Linked DNA regions of Tamandua tetradactyla. The protein of the gene in region 3 purifies or fractionates together with the protein of the main gene of each other region. This does not show direct contact. Links are inferred from orthologs where the notes say so. Each region holds a gene or a part of one and is shown on either strand. Other genes may lie near its edges.

The links.
Region 1: the proteins of RBX1 (region 3) and CUL9 purify together in Homo sapiens (affinity purification with mass spectrometry; 5 studies listed by BioGRID and IntAct, with this or other methods). This does not show direct contact. The link is inferred for Tamandua tetradactyla from reciprocal best matches to the Homo sapiens genes RBX1 and CUL9.
Region 2: the proteins of RBX1 (region 3) and FBXW7 purify together in Homo sapiens (affinity purification with western blotting; 8 studies listed by BioGRID and IntAct, with this or other methods). This does not show direct contact. The link is inferred for Tamandua tetradactyla from reciprocal best matches to the Homo sapiens genes RBX1 and FBXW7.

Annotation. Positions count from the first base shown.
Region 1 is NC_135331.1:100,758,433-100,762,178, reverse strand, and holds the start of CUL9 (cullin-9), read right to left. Parts: upstream 2,205-3,746; 5' UTR 2,176-2,204; coding exon 1,578-2,175; intron 1,033-1,577; coding exon 878-1,032; intron 557-877; coding exon 41-556; intron 1-40. UniProt on the Homo sapiens protein: Core component of a Cul9-RING ubiquitin-protein ligase complex composed of CUL9 and RBX1. The CUL9-RBX1 complex mediates ubiquitination and subsequent degradation of BIRC5 and is required to maintain microtubule dynamics and genome integrity.
Region 2 is NC_135348.1:14,758,052-14,761,797, forward strand, and holds the start of FBXW7 (F-box/WD repeat-containing protein 7), read left to right. Parts: upstream 1-1,562; 5' UTR 1,563-2,765; intron 2,766-3,746. UniProt on the Homo sapiens protein: Substrate recognition component of a SCF (SKP1-CUL1-F-box protein) E3 ubiquitin-protein ligase complex which mediates the ubiquitination and subsequent proteasomal degradation of target proteins.
Region 3 is NC_135333.1:34,063,626-34,067,371, reverse strand, and holds the start of RBX1 (E3 ubiquitin-protein ligase RBX1), read right to left. Parts: upstream 2,777-3,746; 5' UTR 2,721-2,776; coding exon 2,643-2,720; intron 795-2,642; coding exon 716-794; intron 1-715. UniProt on the Homo sapiens protein: E3 ubiquitin ligase component of multiple cullin-RING-based E3 ubiquitin-protein ligase (CRLs) complexes which mediate the ubiquitination and subsequent proteasomal degradation of target proteins, including proteins involved in cell cycle progression, signal transduction, transcription and transcription-coupled nucleotide excision repair.

The DNA.
Region 1 (3,746 bases), on a different chromosome or scaffold from region 3:
GACAGCCTCAATAGTATCCCATGCCCATGCGCTCACTCGCCTGCACAGGAGGCACGCCGTTGTTGCTCTGCCGGAACTCACCCTCGTCGCCTGCGCTAATCTCCTCGTAATCGTCCAGCATCCGCACTCGCATCCCCGGCGTCAACGTCTGCTGCACGTACTCACCATAGCCACTGCGGCTTGAGAATTCACAGCGCGGGCGAAAAGCCCGCCCTTGCCTTCCGGGGGTGCTGATGATGGTGGGGAGTAAAAGGCTGGGGCCCGAAACGCAGGGCTGAAAGATGGATCGGGCCGGCCGGGGAGGCGAAGCGCCCTGTTCACTGAAGTTCCGGGCCCAGCCCATGTTCCGCACCAGCTCTGAGATGAGGTTGCCCACAGCCAGACAGAATTCCAGCTTCCGCTGAGCACGGCTTTTCTCCCGGATGAACTCCTCCCTCGCGGGGGAGTGGGAGCCTCCGTCTCCAGCCCCTGGCTCTGGATTATTATTCAGCTGATCCAGGAGGGAAGTGACACACAGGTAGCGCTTCACCAGGGAGAAGAGTAGCTTTCCTGGTATCTGTAGGATATAATCCTTGGCCTAGGTTCATCTCCCAGCTTTAGCTCCTCCCCTTTCCTCTCAATGTCATCCTCTACAGAAAAAAATAAAGGTCTCATCCCTAAGCCTGTAGTTCTCAAACGCTGGTTTGTGTAAGAAACAAAAAGGGAATGTCTTAAAAATACAGATTCCTGAATTTTAATCTCAGAGATCCTAAGAAAATCTGGGGTAGAGAGGGGTACATAAACCTTTACTTTAACAAGCTTCTAAGTAGTTCTGGTGCTGAGGTACAGTCCTGAACCACCTTTCAGATGCCCTAGGCCTTGTACAGAGCTGGGGTACCTGAGGCAGATGAATGCCCTCAAAGGCCATGCAGTGTTCTTCAGACGATGTGGTCTCTGCAAACAGCTCCAGCAAAGTATAGCGGCTGTCAAAATCCATGTGCTGCTCAATGCCATCTTGCTGGCTCAGCGACAGAAGGACATGAGCCCGACTCCCTGTAATCCACACCCAAACCATATCTTCTCTTCAAGCCCCAATACCTCCCCCCCTGCTTTTTCTAGTCTCTACTGCCTACCCTAGAGGGCTTCAAACTTATTTGAGACTGAGAACCACAGTAAGAAGCACATTTCACATTGTAACCCCAGTACAAGCAAGTGTACATACAAATGAAATACACATTTCATGCTACAGAGCTTATCCTTATTAAGTGCTGTTCTCTGATATTTTACGTTTCTTTTAAAATCCACTAAATTGATTTCACAACCAATAAATCTCAACTCACAATTTAAAAAATGCAAATTTACCCCATTCTCTTTTTTGCCATTGCACTGGAAAAGGACAGATAAAACCAGGTGCTATCACTTCATCCTGTTTATATAGTACCTGCAATAGCCTATTAATTTATACTTTTCCTTTGCATTGAATTGATATTCGCCAAATACTAGGTTCTCTTACAGAGTTGGGGAAGCTCTTCTCTTTCTGTTCTTACTCCCTGTAGCCCATTCTCTCCAATGTTCTCCTTCCCCCGGCTGACTCTTACCAGCATCATGGGCTGCCAGAGCCTGCAGCATCTTGCCTGCACTCCGACGGATCTGAGGCTCAGGGTTGCACAACATCTTCATGAGCAGGTCCAGAGCTCCCGTTTCCCTGAAGACCCCAGTGAGGGGCCCAATGCTGGCATAGGCACTGAGCACATGGATGGTGTGGAGCACAGCGGCAGTGAGGCTAGAGGTCCCACCCTCTGCCAGTTGCCTGGCAGCCCTGCATACCAGTGCCCGTACATCAGCCTCCATCTCTCCCACTGCCACTTCATCCAGGCCTCCTGGATCCCTGGGAAAACTTCCTGAAACCCCAGCAGGCTCATGCTGAGGTCCCTTAGATAGCACTCTTTCGCCTAACAGCATGGGGCAGTTGGCGTAGACCTCAGGGGCTGACAACCACATGAAGATGTGCTCTGCCTTGCCTTCGGAGTCCACACCCACTCTGCCAATTTCTTCACACCTCAGGACAGTCCATCGGATGAGGTATTCAGGACACCCATCATGTCCAGGCCGCTGTCGAAGGAGTTCTTCAGGATATGCCTGCAGCTGGGACCCCAAGGGCACCATGATGTCCCCGGCACGCCATGTCCCCACCATCCTGACCTCCTGAGACACATAATGAGAAATATAAAAGCAGTATAGGAAAGGGATAAGAGTACCTGGAGGGGCAAGAGTCTAGAGACATGGAGGGGGGTAATTGGTAGGCTGCAGGTAGAATTCAGAGGCCAAAAAAAAGGGCCAGATATAGGATGGGATAAATAGTTGAACACACTCTGGGACTTAATTATAGGAGAAGGAGAATGGAGTAAGGACAGCAAAAAGGACAGCAAGAGGATATCCTGCATTTCTTAAAGAAACGGAAATTACAAGAGAATAAGAAGAGTAAAAGACAAGGTAACAGAAGAGTGACAGTTAAGCAGGACAGTCTAAGCAGAAGAGCAGGGTGGCTAAGGGATACAGATCAGGACTAAAAGGATGGCATGAGTGAGCAGGAAGGACAGCAGCATGTGAGACAGTGGGGCCAGAACACGTAAGGAAAGTTGATATAGAGGAGGGGCAGGACAAGTAATATAAATGAAGAGGCAAATGTGGAATGTGGAATATAAAGCAGTAGGCCTCGGGAGATTCAGAAAATGGAGATGGAAAGAAGGCTGGGATGTGGGAGCAGATGGCTGGATGGGGAGAGTATATGAGTATTGTGAGGGTGGGGAAAATGGACCTAGGAATCACATAAAAGTATGGGAGAAAAGGACCAGGTCCCAGTTCATACTTACGCTGTATCTAAGTCAAAGGGTGGTAACCATGGGATTGAGACAGTAGGGGATGACTCCAAGAGATGGTGGGGTATTATTACAGATTTCGCTCAGAAGAATGCCCTTTGAACTCTAGCTTTTTTGCTTTCCATCTACAAAGCCTTAGACAAGTTATTTAACCTCTGAGCCTGTTTCCATGTCTGCTAGATGGTGATAATATGTATACCTACCTCTTGAAGTTGACTTAAAGATTTAATAAGATCTCATATGTAAAACACTTAAAACAGTGACCAGCAAGTAGTGAGCACTCAGTAAACAACCTAATATTATTATTGTTAGAGGGGAAGGTAGGGGCAGTCATCAGATAAACTGAGAGAGGTGATAAGCCAGAAGATTCTAGGAGAGTAGGTGATGCTAGTGATAGGGATGAGATATGAGTGAAATGAAGCAGGTGTAGGGGTAACAGAGAATGGTGAGAATGAGAGGGGAAAGTAAACCCAGGCAGAGAAAAGGCAATTTAGGCAGGAGTCATGTGGGAGTATAGAACAGAAGATAAGAGTAGAAGACAGGAGTGAAGGGGAGGGGGAAACAAGGGTGTGGGGCAAGGTTCCAGTTAGCACCGGGAACCAGTTTGAACGGGGAACTCTGATGTGATGGGCTCCTGATTAGAGAAGGTTGGAGAAGTAAAACAATGGGATAGGCCTCAACTGGGACGAAAGGGGGTGGGGAACACACCCGTAGGGTGGGCCTAGAGTAGGACCAACAAATTGATGTGAGCTGCAAGGACGCGGGGATGAAGCCAGCAGGTAGACGCAGGCAACAAGGTCAAGCCCAAGCTTACAGACAGTGGGGGCGGGGAAGAAATGGGCACAGGTTTGGGAACGGGGTGCGGTCCGAGATGGGTGACAGAACCGA
Region 2 (3,746 bases), on a different chromosome or scaffold from region 3:
TTGGAATCAAATGCAGGGTAACTTAAGTAGGCTCTTATTTAACTTGGCTCTTGGGATTTGGGTTCAAGGGCAGGAGTGTCAGGTGTTATTTCTGCAGAATGTCTCCACTTCTCCCTCTTTTCTGCAGCTTTTAAAACAAAAGCAAAAACCAGGCCCTTGGTTTTACCAAGTTAGAAGTTTCCTTGGTCAACAGTTTGCATATGGTGCTGGTAGCACTGGCAGAAACCCCAAGTTTCCAAATCTGCTTGCAATACTCCTGCTTCTATTCCTCCATAGAGGAATAGTAATGGAAAAGACTTCCATTACTGCTGCTTCCAGAGGAAGTAGGGGGTGCGAGGTCCAGTGACAGAACTGTGGAATTCGCTTCCTTTCATCATTGCTGCTGCTTTTATCGCATGCTTACACTATTCACCAGGACAGATTCAGGACAGATTTCTGAAGATTTTGGTTCTTTTATATTACTTCTTTTCCTAGAGAATGACCTTTTTAACTTTATGAATTATTACTTGAATTGACCTTCCAGAATAACATCTGTAGGAAAAGCTGCATAACAGTAATAACATTTATTTCAGAGAGGAAAGAGACTTTCAGCCACATGTGAAACGCAGGCCAAAATTACTTGATGAGGGTAATGGACACTGAATGACAACCAAGACAAGGTCAAGAAGTTCTCCATAAGCAAGAATGATTTCTAACAGTGAGGCATTGCTAAATTCTCCTCTAGAAAAACAGTCAAAAATCTTTCTACGATCTCCGGAAGGATGGTTCCTTTCCAATACTCCTCCCCCTCACACCGCCCCCTCCCCGACGCAACATTCTCCTGGAGTATGGCTCTTTCCTCCTTACCTCCCCCCCCACCCCCCCAGCCATCCGTCTCCTCCTCGCCTCTCCCCAACTGCCCTCCCTGGCAATTCTGCAAAGACGCAGGGAGTAACTCTCTACTCTAGCCACACCACATTTCCTTTCATGGAGGAAAGGGGGTGCATTATAACTTTCCTCATAATGCATCGCAGTTTACAAAGCGCTTGCACTTCTATCATCTCCTCTGAGCTCTTTGGGTGCCAAGGGACGTAGGCATTCATTCATTCATTCACCAAATTTGCGGCTCTCCACCACACTTTATCTGGCTGTAAGTCTCACCCCACACCACGGGAAGGGTGGAGTGCTCGCTCCTCGAAGCAGATGCGGTGAATTAGGCGTCAACTTCTCGCTGGGTCGGGTTTGTTGAGGGCCCGTTTGGGGCCAAATGCCTCACCTTCGAGTGGTGCGCGCCGGAGCATGGCCACACGGCTGGGCCTCCTCCTTGCCCCCAAAGGAGCAGTCACGCTCTAGGGTCAGGGGTAAGATCAGGCCGTAGCTTAGGCTCAACTCGGCTCCTCCCCTTCCTCTCTTCTATTCTGACGCGATCGCAGAGGCGGCAGCGGCGGCGAGTCCCGCGGTCCCGGGCGCACCCACCCGCTCTCGGATCCTCGACTTCCTCTTCCCCTTGAGCGTCATCAAAGTGCGCCAGAGTTCCCCAGGTCGGGGTGGGTGGGAAGGGAAAAAAAAAGGCTAGCGGTGGAAGCTTCAAAGCAGAGGGGGGAGGAGAGCGGTTGCTAGGTGACTTGCGTCATCGCTGTGCGCCGGTTTCCTCCCGCCCCTCTCTGTGGAGTGAGGCGAGAGCCCCGCACAGAGCGAGCGAGATAGCGAGCAGCGCTCCGGGCGCTACAGCCACCGCCTCCGAGAGAGTGAGAGCGAGGGAGCATCCGAGAAACTCAGCTTCCGTGCACTGGCCGCCACCGAAACCTCCGCCCTAACCTGGGCCAGCGAGAGCCGCGGCCGCCCTTCCTCTCCCCCCCCCCCCCTCACCTTCCCGGCCGGCAGCAGCGGCTGCACACGCCGGAGCCGGAGCCGGAGCCCGCGGCTGGGGGGGCAGGGAGGCGGCTACCCTGGGTCGGGGCTGGGCAGCTACTCCGCGGTGAGAGGACGCTGAGGAGGGTCCGGAGCTTTCTGCCTCGTCCCGGGACGCGGGGCGAGGGACCCCCAAGGTGTAGGGAGGGGGTCCCAGTCGCAGCGACACATGCGGGAGCCGGGAGCGGGGGCGGCGCCGAGCGGAGCCGGCCAGGTCCCCCACCTCGCCGCCGCCTCGGCCGTCCACCCGGGGCCGTAGCATCTCGCCCTGGAATATATGAGCCGGGGCTCCAAGCTCAGCAGCCACCCCCCAATCGGGGGGGCGGGGGCCCCGATGTGAAGAGGCGGCCCGGGTGGCGGGGAGAGCAGGACCCGCGCAGAGGTTCCCTTCCTTACCTTCCCCCTCCCCCACCCCCTTCGGGGGTCTTCTCCTTTGGCCAGTCGCCAGCCCCCCGGCTCCTCCGTAGGGCTCCGGGAGGAGTTCTCAGTGCCCCCTCCCCCGCCCCAGCCCGAGGGCGGCGGGGCTGGGGGGGATCCGGGGGGCCGGCCGCAGCCTCCGCCCAGAGAAAACTTTTTATAAAAATAAAATCCCAAGTCCCCCCAACGTGACTGTCCCGGGTGAAGTGGCCCTGGAAGGGCTGGAGCCACAGCCTGAAGAGACCCAGGAAGAGGAAAAAGGAGGCAAGAGGGGCCGCCACCCCTTTTCCACCGGCGGCACGGAAGAGACCCGGGTGGCCACCTGGCTTAGCGACACTAGCACCGCTTCTTCCTCGGTAACGCACCGGAGCTTTTCGCGGCCGCCGCCTCAGTCGGAAGGAGGAAGGGACCCAACCCACCTTCTCAGCTCCACCGTCATTACTCTTCGCTCCTAAAGTGTGAGTGGCCCCGGGAAAGAAAGTTGGGATTAGAAAGTGGGAGGATGCCGGTGCTTCTTCTTGGAGTTTTGCTCATGTTTCCCAGGAGTATTGGGAGTGTATAGGTGAGACAGTACCTTTATTCTTCACCGAGGGGGGAAGGTATTAGGTAGTCCAGTATTTTGTTTTAGTGCTTTGTGTGTATTATGCAAGCGTACAAGTTTCTCTTAGAGGAATTTTGCCTTACTCCAGAGTGGGTACTTAACGCCTTTTGGGCCTGCAATTGGCAAAAGAAAAGGTAGCCAGAGCATATGTGCACATAAAGGACATCTCTAATCTTCTTTTTTCCTGGTACACCTAGTGTGAAACAGCGCTGTAGTTGTTTCTGGGGAACTCTCATATATAGATGCCCAAGTAACCACCTACTTACTTACTTTTTGAATTGAAAGTAAAATTCCTTTCATTTTTTGCAGTCTTCCTTGAAAATTTTCTGTTTTGCTACCTATTAATACAGGATTTTTTTTTTTAAACTTTCTAAATTTCCTTGGTTCAGTTCCTGTCTGTCAGGAGGACACTAACAGATTTCAGTCAACCAGGAAATTCTGGATTTTTATGAATCACAACTTACTAGGGGTCTCCAGAGCATTTAGTGCTTTAACCAGTTTATAAAAATTGTTACATTTTTTTCCTTCACGCATTTTTTTTCCTTTCTTGAGAAGCATGTCTAAATTATTGCACTTTTTATTGGGCAGTTTAGCTTGAGGCTTTGATTATTTGAGTTATCGTCACTTCTCTGTTAATTTATGAGAAAGTTTCCATATTTAATTCTTTTCCAGAAATATTTTTCCTTTCATTTTAAAGTTGAAGTTTATAAGAACTTTCAGGGATACTTTCAGAAAGCCAAATTAGAGGTGCAGGAAAGTAATTTACATTTCGTATGTTTATGCACCCCTTAAGGGTTAAATAGACATTTTATTGAACAGAACATAGGTGGTATACCAA
Region 3 (3,746 bases):
CAAAACACAATTTCAATTCTAGAACCTTGAAGTTTCTTTGCCTGATTTCTGATTTCATTAGCAAACCAATTTAGTATGTGGATGAAAAAGTAACCTCAATTGTTTCAGTGTAATCAATCTTCTCCCTCCCATTACTACAAGGATACTAAATTAGTCAGTTAACAGCTACAATCAGATTCACTATGTTTTGATCACCTTATGTAATAAATATATAGAGATTTAAATCAAATTTCTTTAGTGAATTTAATTGCCTATTTAGATGTTGGTAGTGATGTCTTTTTTACTAGGTATGGGGCTAAAGTTGCAAATCCTTACTTCTTCAGCTTCTTTTCTTTACACATCTCACCCAGCAAAAACTAGCTTGGACAGAATATTTTAGTTCAAAGTTTATTTTCTTCCTTTTACTACTTCTGCCTTTGAGTCTGGGTAGGAGATAGGAAATATAAAGAGAAAGAATCTACAGTGCCCCTGTGTCCACAATTCATTCTAAACGTGGCCTTGCTCTCTTTAGAGCAAGTTGATTTATTTTAAGAACTGGGTATGTCTTCAAGACAATCCAAAAACTATTCTGTTTCAAACACACCAAGAGACCAGGTGCAGAAGACCCCAAGCACTATGTTTTATATCTTTCCTGAAGAAGAAAACTGATCACATCAGGATAGCAACAATCCTTGCAACCTTCTCAACTTGCTCCCATGCTCCTCCAATTACTTACAAAGATCCATAATGTGGTTCCTGCAGATGGCACAGTTATCAACCACAATGTCCCAGGCCCAGAGGGCTACCGCATTCCACTGCAAAGAGAGAAAAGGGGGAACAATGCACTTCCCTTGTAACATATTACACACACATTAGAATTTCGTACTGCAGCTGGAGTTAACATCTTCTTTGGCCACATGGACCACCAAACAAGAGTTTCTGGATATTACACTACTCTTATTACACCAGAGGACAACAATAGGCTACATACAATCTCGTCCATTCTCCAAAATGTTAAGCACATGAAATTAATGTATCATCTTTTAATTTAATTTTTTCCCAGACCTAAAAATATTTAGTCAGCCACTTCAATGTCAGCAATCAGGAATAATTTTTAAGGGCTTGTTTTAGTCTTAATAAGCACAAACTTGCATCACTGTGCAGGTTCCCCAGGCAGATGCACAAGAGATCAGTCTGCATAGATAAATTCTGCTCTTAAAGGCAGCTTTGGAAGCATGAGTGGGGAGGTGAAAGCTAGGAAGAGAATGAACTAAGATGATGACCGGAGCATAAAATGGGTAATCTTGGATTGAAGTGGGTAAATACCAACAGTATTAGTACACAGAACAATGTTACCACTTATTTCTTACAGCATCGCTCCATAACAAACTCTAGAATTCACTGAACTTTTAGTTCCTACTCTCAAACAAATGTTCTCAAGTTTTATATGCCCACTTCTACATATGACTGAGATAATTCCACTAAGAATTTATCTAAACCCAGTATCTAAGTATTTCAACCTCTGCTTCTGCAACTATAAATACTCCCAAGGCCTTTTTCATCCACTAATTTGGCACCACTCCCACCCCCTCATCTCCTGCAAGCCAAATCTCAGTGTCTAGCAACTTCTTCAGCACTTTTTACCCCACAGCTTCAATTTGGAGGAAAAAAGTCTACTACTATCTTCAATATGGCTGCTGGCTGTAACTGGGCATGAAGTGCCCATAACGAGACGCAAAAAAGCACTAGGAGAATATTTTTAGTGTTTAGCCAGATATTCCAGGAATAACAGCTTCCTTATTTGAAAATCCTCATTTTGAATAGATTTATTTCATCTTAGGTGGAAATCCACACTTTTCTCCCAAGCTGTTGGCAAACCACTAAAAGGGATTTCATGCAAAGACACGTTCAACATTTTTGCTTTCCCACTTCTAACAGGCCATTCGCAACTCGTACTCAACCCTTCCTAAACGCTACGAGGTTTGGGCTTCATATGCTTTTGGGGGGAATAGGGGGTGGCTTCTGGACATGACGGAGAACCACAAGACTGAGACGGATGCGTAACAAATCAAAAGAGCCAAGCATAAGAAATGAGACTCTAACTTGGTGGGGGTGAAGGCCAGAGATGGGGCAGAGAGGCCTTGCTTAGGCGAGGACAACGTCGGGATCCCTCAGTCAGTGGGACCGCAAAGCTTCAAAAAGGGGCGGGGTAAGGAGATCGTAAGCCCAGCTCTACAGAAACCTCCATTGCGGTAGGACCTCAGGTTCTCGGCTTTCGCCGCACTGTCCCATCCTCCACTCACTGCAGTAGCTCCGACTCCCCCATCCACCCACCCCACTCTCTACTTCCCCCACCCCTCAACCACTCCAGTGACAGCTCAGGCGCTTGGCTCCCGCGACCAAGTCGCAAGCCGGAGTAGTTCAATAAACACCTCAGTGATTGGACCCTCAGCCTAAGAGCGAAACCAATAGTTTCACTGACAGTGGGTCGCAGACACGCCGATCAACCCTAAGACCCACCCTCCGGCTTCCTTTCGGGGGTACCCGGTCCCAGGAACGCCCTGAAATGAAGCCCTTTTCTTCGCGCCTCGGTCACCCTCGGGCCTGCCAGCCAAGTCCGCGCCTGTCTAGCTTCCTTGAGGAAGCAGCTGGCGAGACCCAACCTTTTTCACTTCAAAGCGTTTCTTGCCCGCGCCGCTGTTAGTGCCGCTCGGGGTATCCACGTCCATCGCTGCCGCCATTTTGGAAACTCACGCTCCGTCGCCTGGCCACTGCGCCTGCGCAGCGCCGCCCGCCCCCATCCTCCCCTCCCCCAAGCACCTCCTCCCGCACCCCACCACTGACTGGCGCGCGAGGGGCAGATGGGGCGGAGCACGTGAACACGCCTCTTAAAGGCGCTGGAGCAGGTTCCCCCTTGCGTCGGCTAGGGAGGAGGCGGTGGCCTGGGCGGCTGGGGCGGGGCCGGGCGGGGCCGAGGCGCTGTGAGCGAGCCGGAGGAAACCTTGGAGGAGACCCGCGCTAGTCGCCTTCTGCGGGCTTCCACGCTCCCTCTGCTGGGGCGGCGGCTTCTTCCTCTCCCTTGGCCGCGACGTGCGGCCCAGGCTCTGCCCAGCCTCCGCTCCCTGTGCCGGTGGACCGCTCGCCGTCTTCGGCTCCCCACACTGCCCTTTGGTAGATCCTGACCCGCGTCCGAGCTAGGCCGGAGGTGCAGCCACCTTGGGAGGCCTGAGGATGGGCAAACCCCGGCCCAAGCACCGTTTGGTTTCCTGATTTCAATTCGGAAAAGGCTCAGGGATTCGAAGAGGAGGGAAGAAATGCCTGAGCCTTCTCCTCAAGGCCAGAGTGAGCTGGCATTTTCCTTCCGCGCTTCACCCCCCTCCGCTGCCCCCCCCCCCCCCGCCAGAAATAGGTGGAGGAGGGTCAGAAGCCTGGGTGATAATCATCTCCAGCCTGCTTTGTAATGCTAGATGGTTCTCGATGGCCTCTGCTTAAGGTCCACGATTTCAGTGAACTCACTTGAGTACACATTCCCCACTTGAGTACACACTCAATGTGTACTCACTTGAGTACACATTCACCATTTCATCTAAACATAGGGCCCTTCTCCCTCGTTTCTTGTCACGGTTGAGCTCCCTGCGCTATAGTTACGCTGACCTATCTGGGATCGCCGTACTTAAAATTTCTGTCGAGCATTCTGCCATTTATCCTTACTGGTCATTCCTTCCCATCCAAAGCACCTGCACCTGTCACATTCTGGTTCTAGGTTG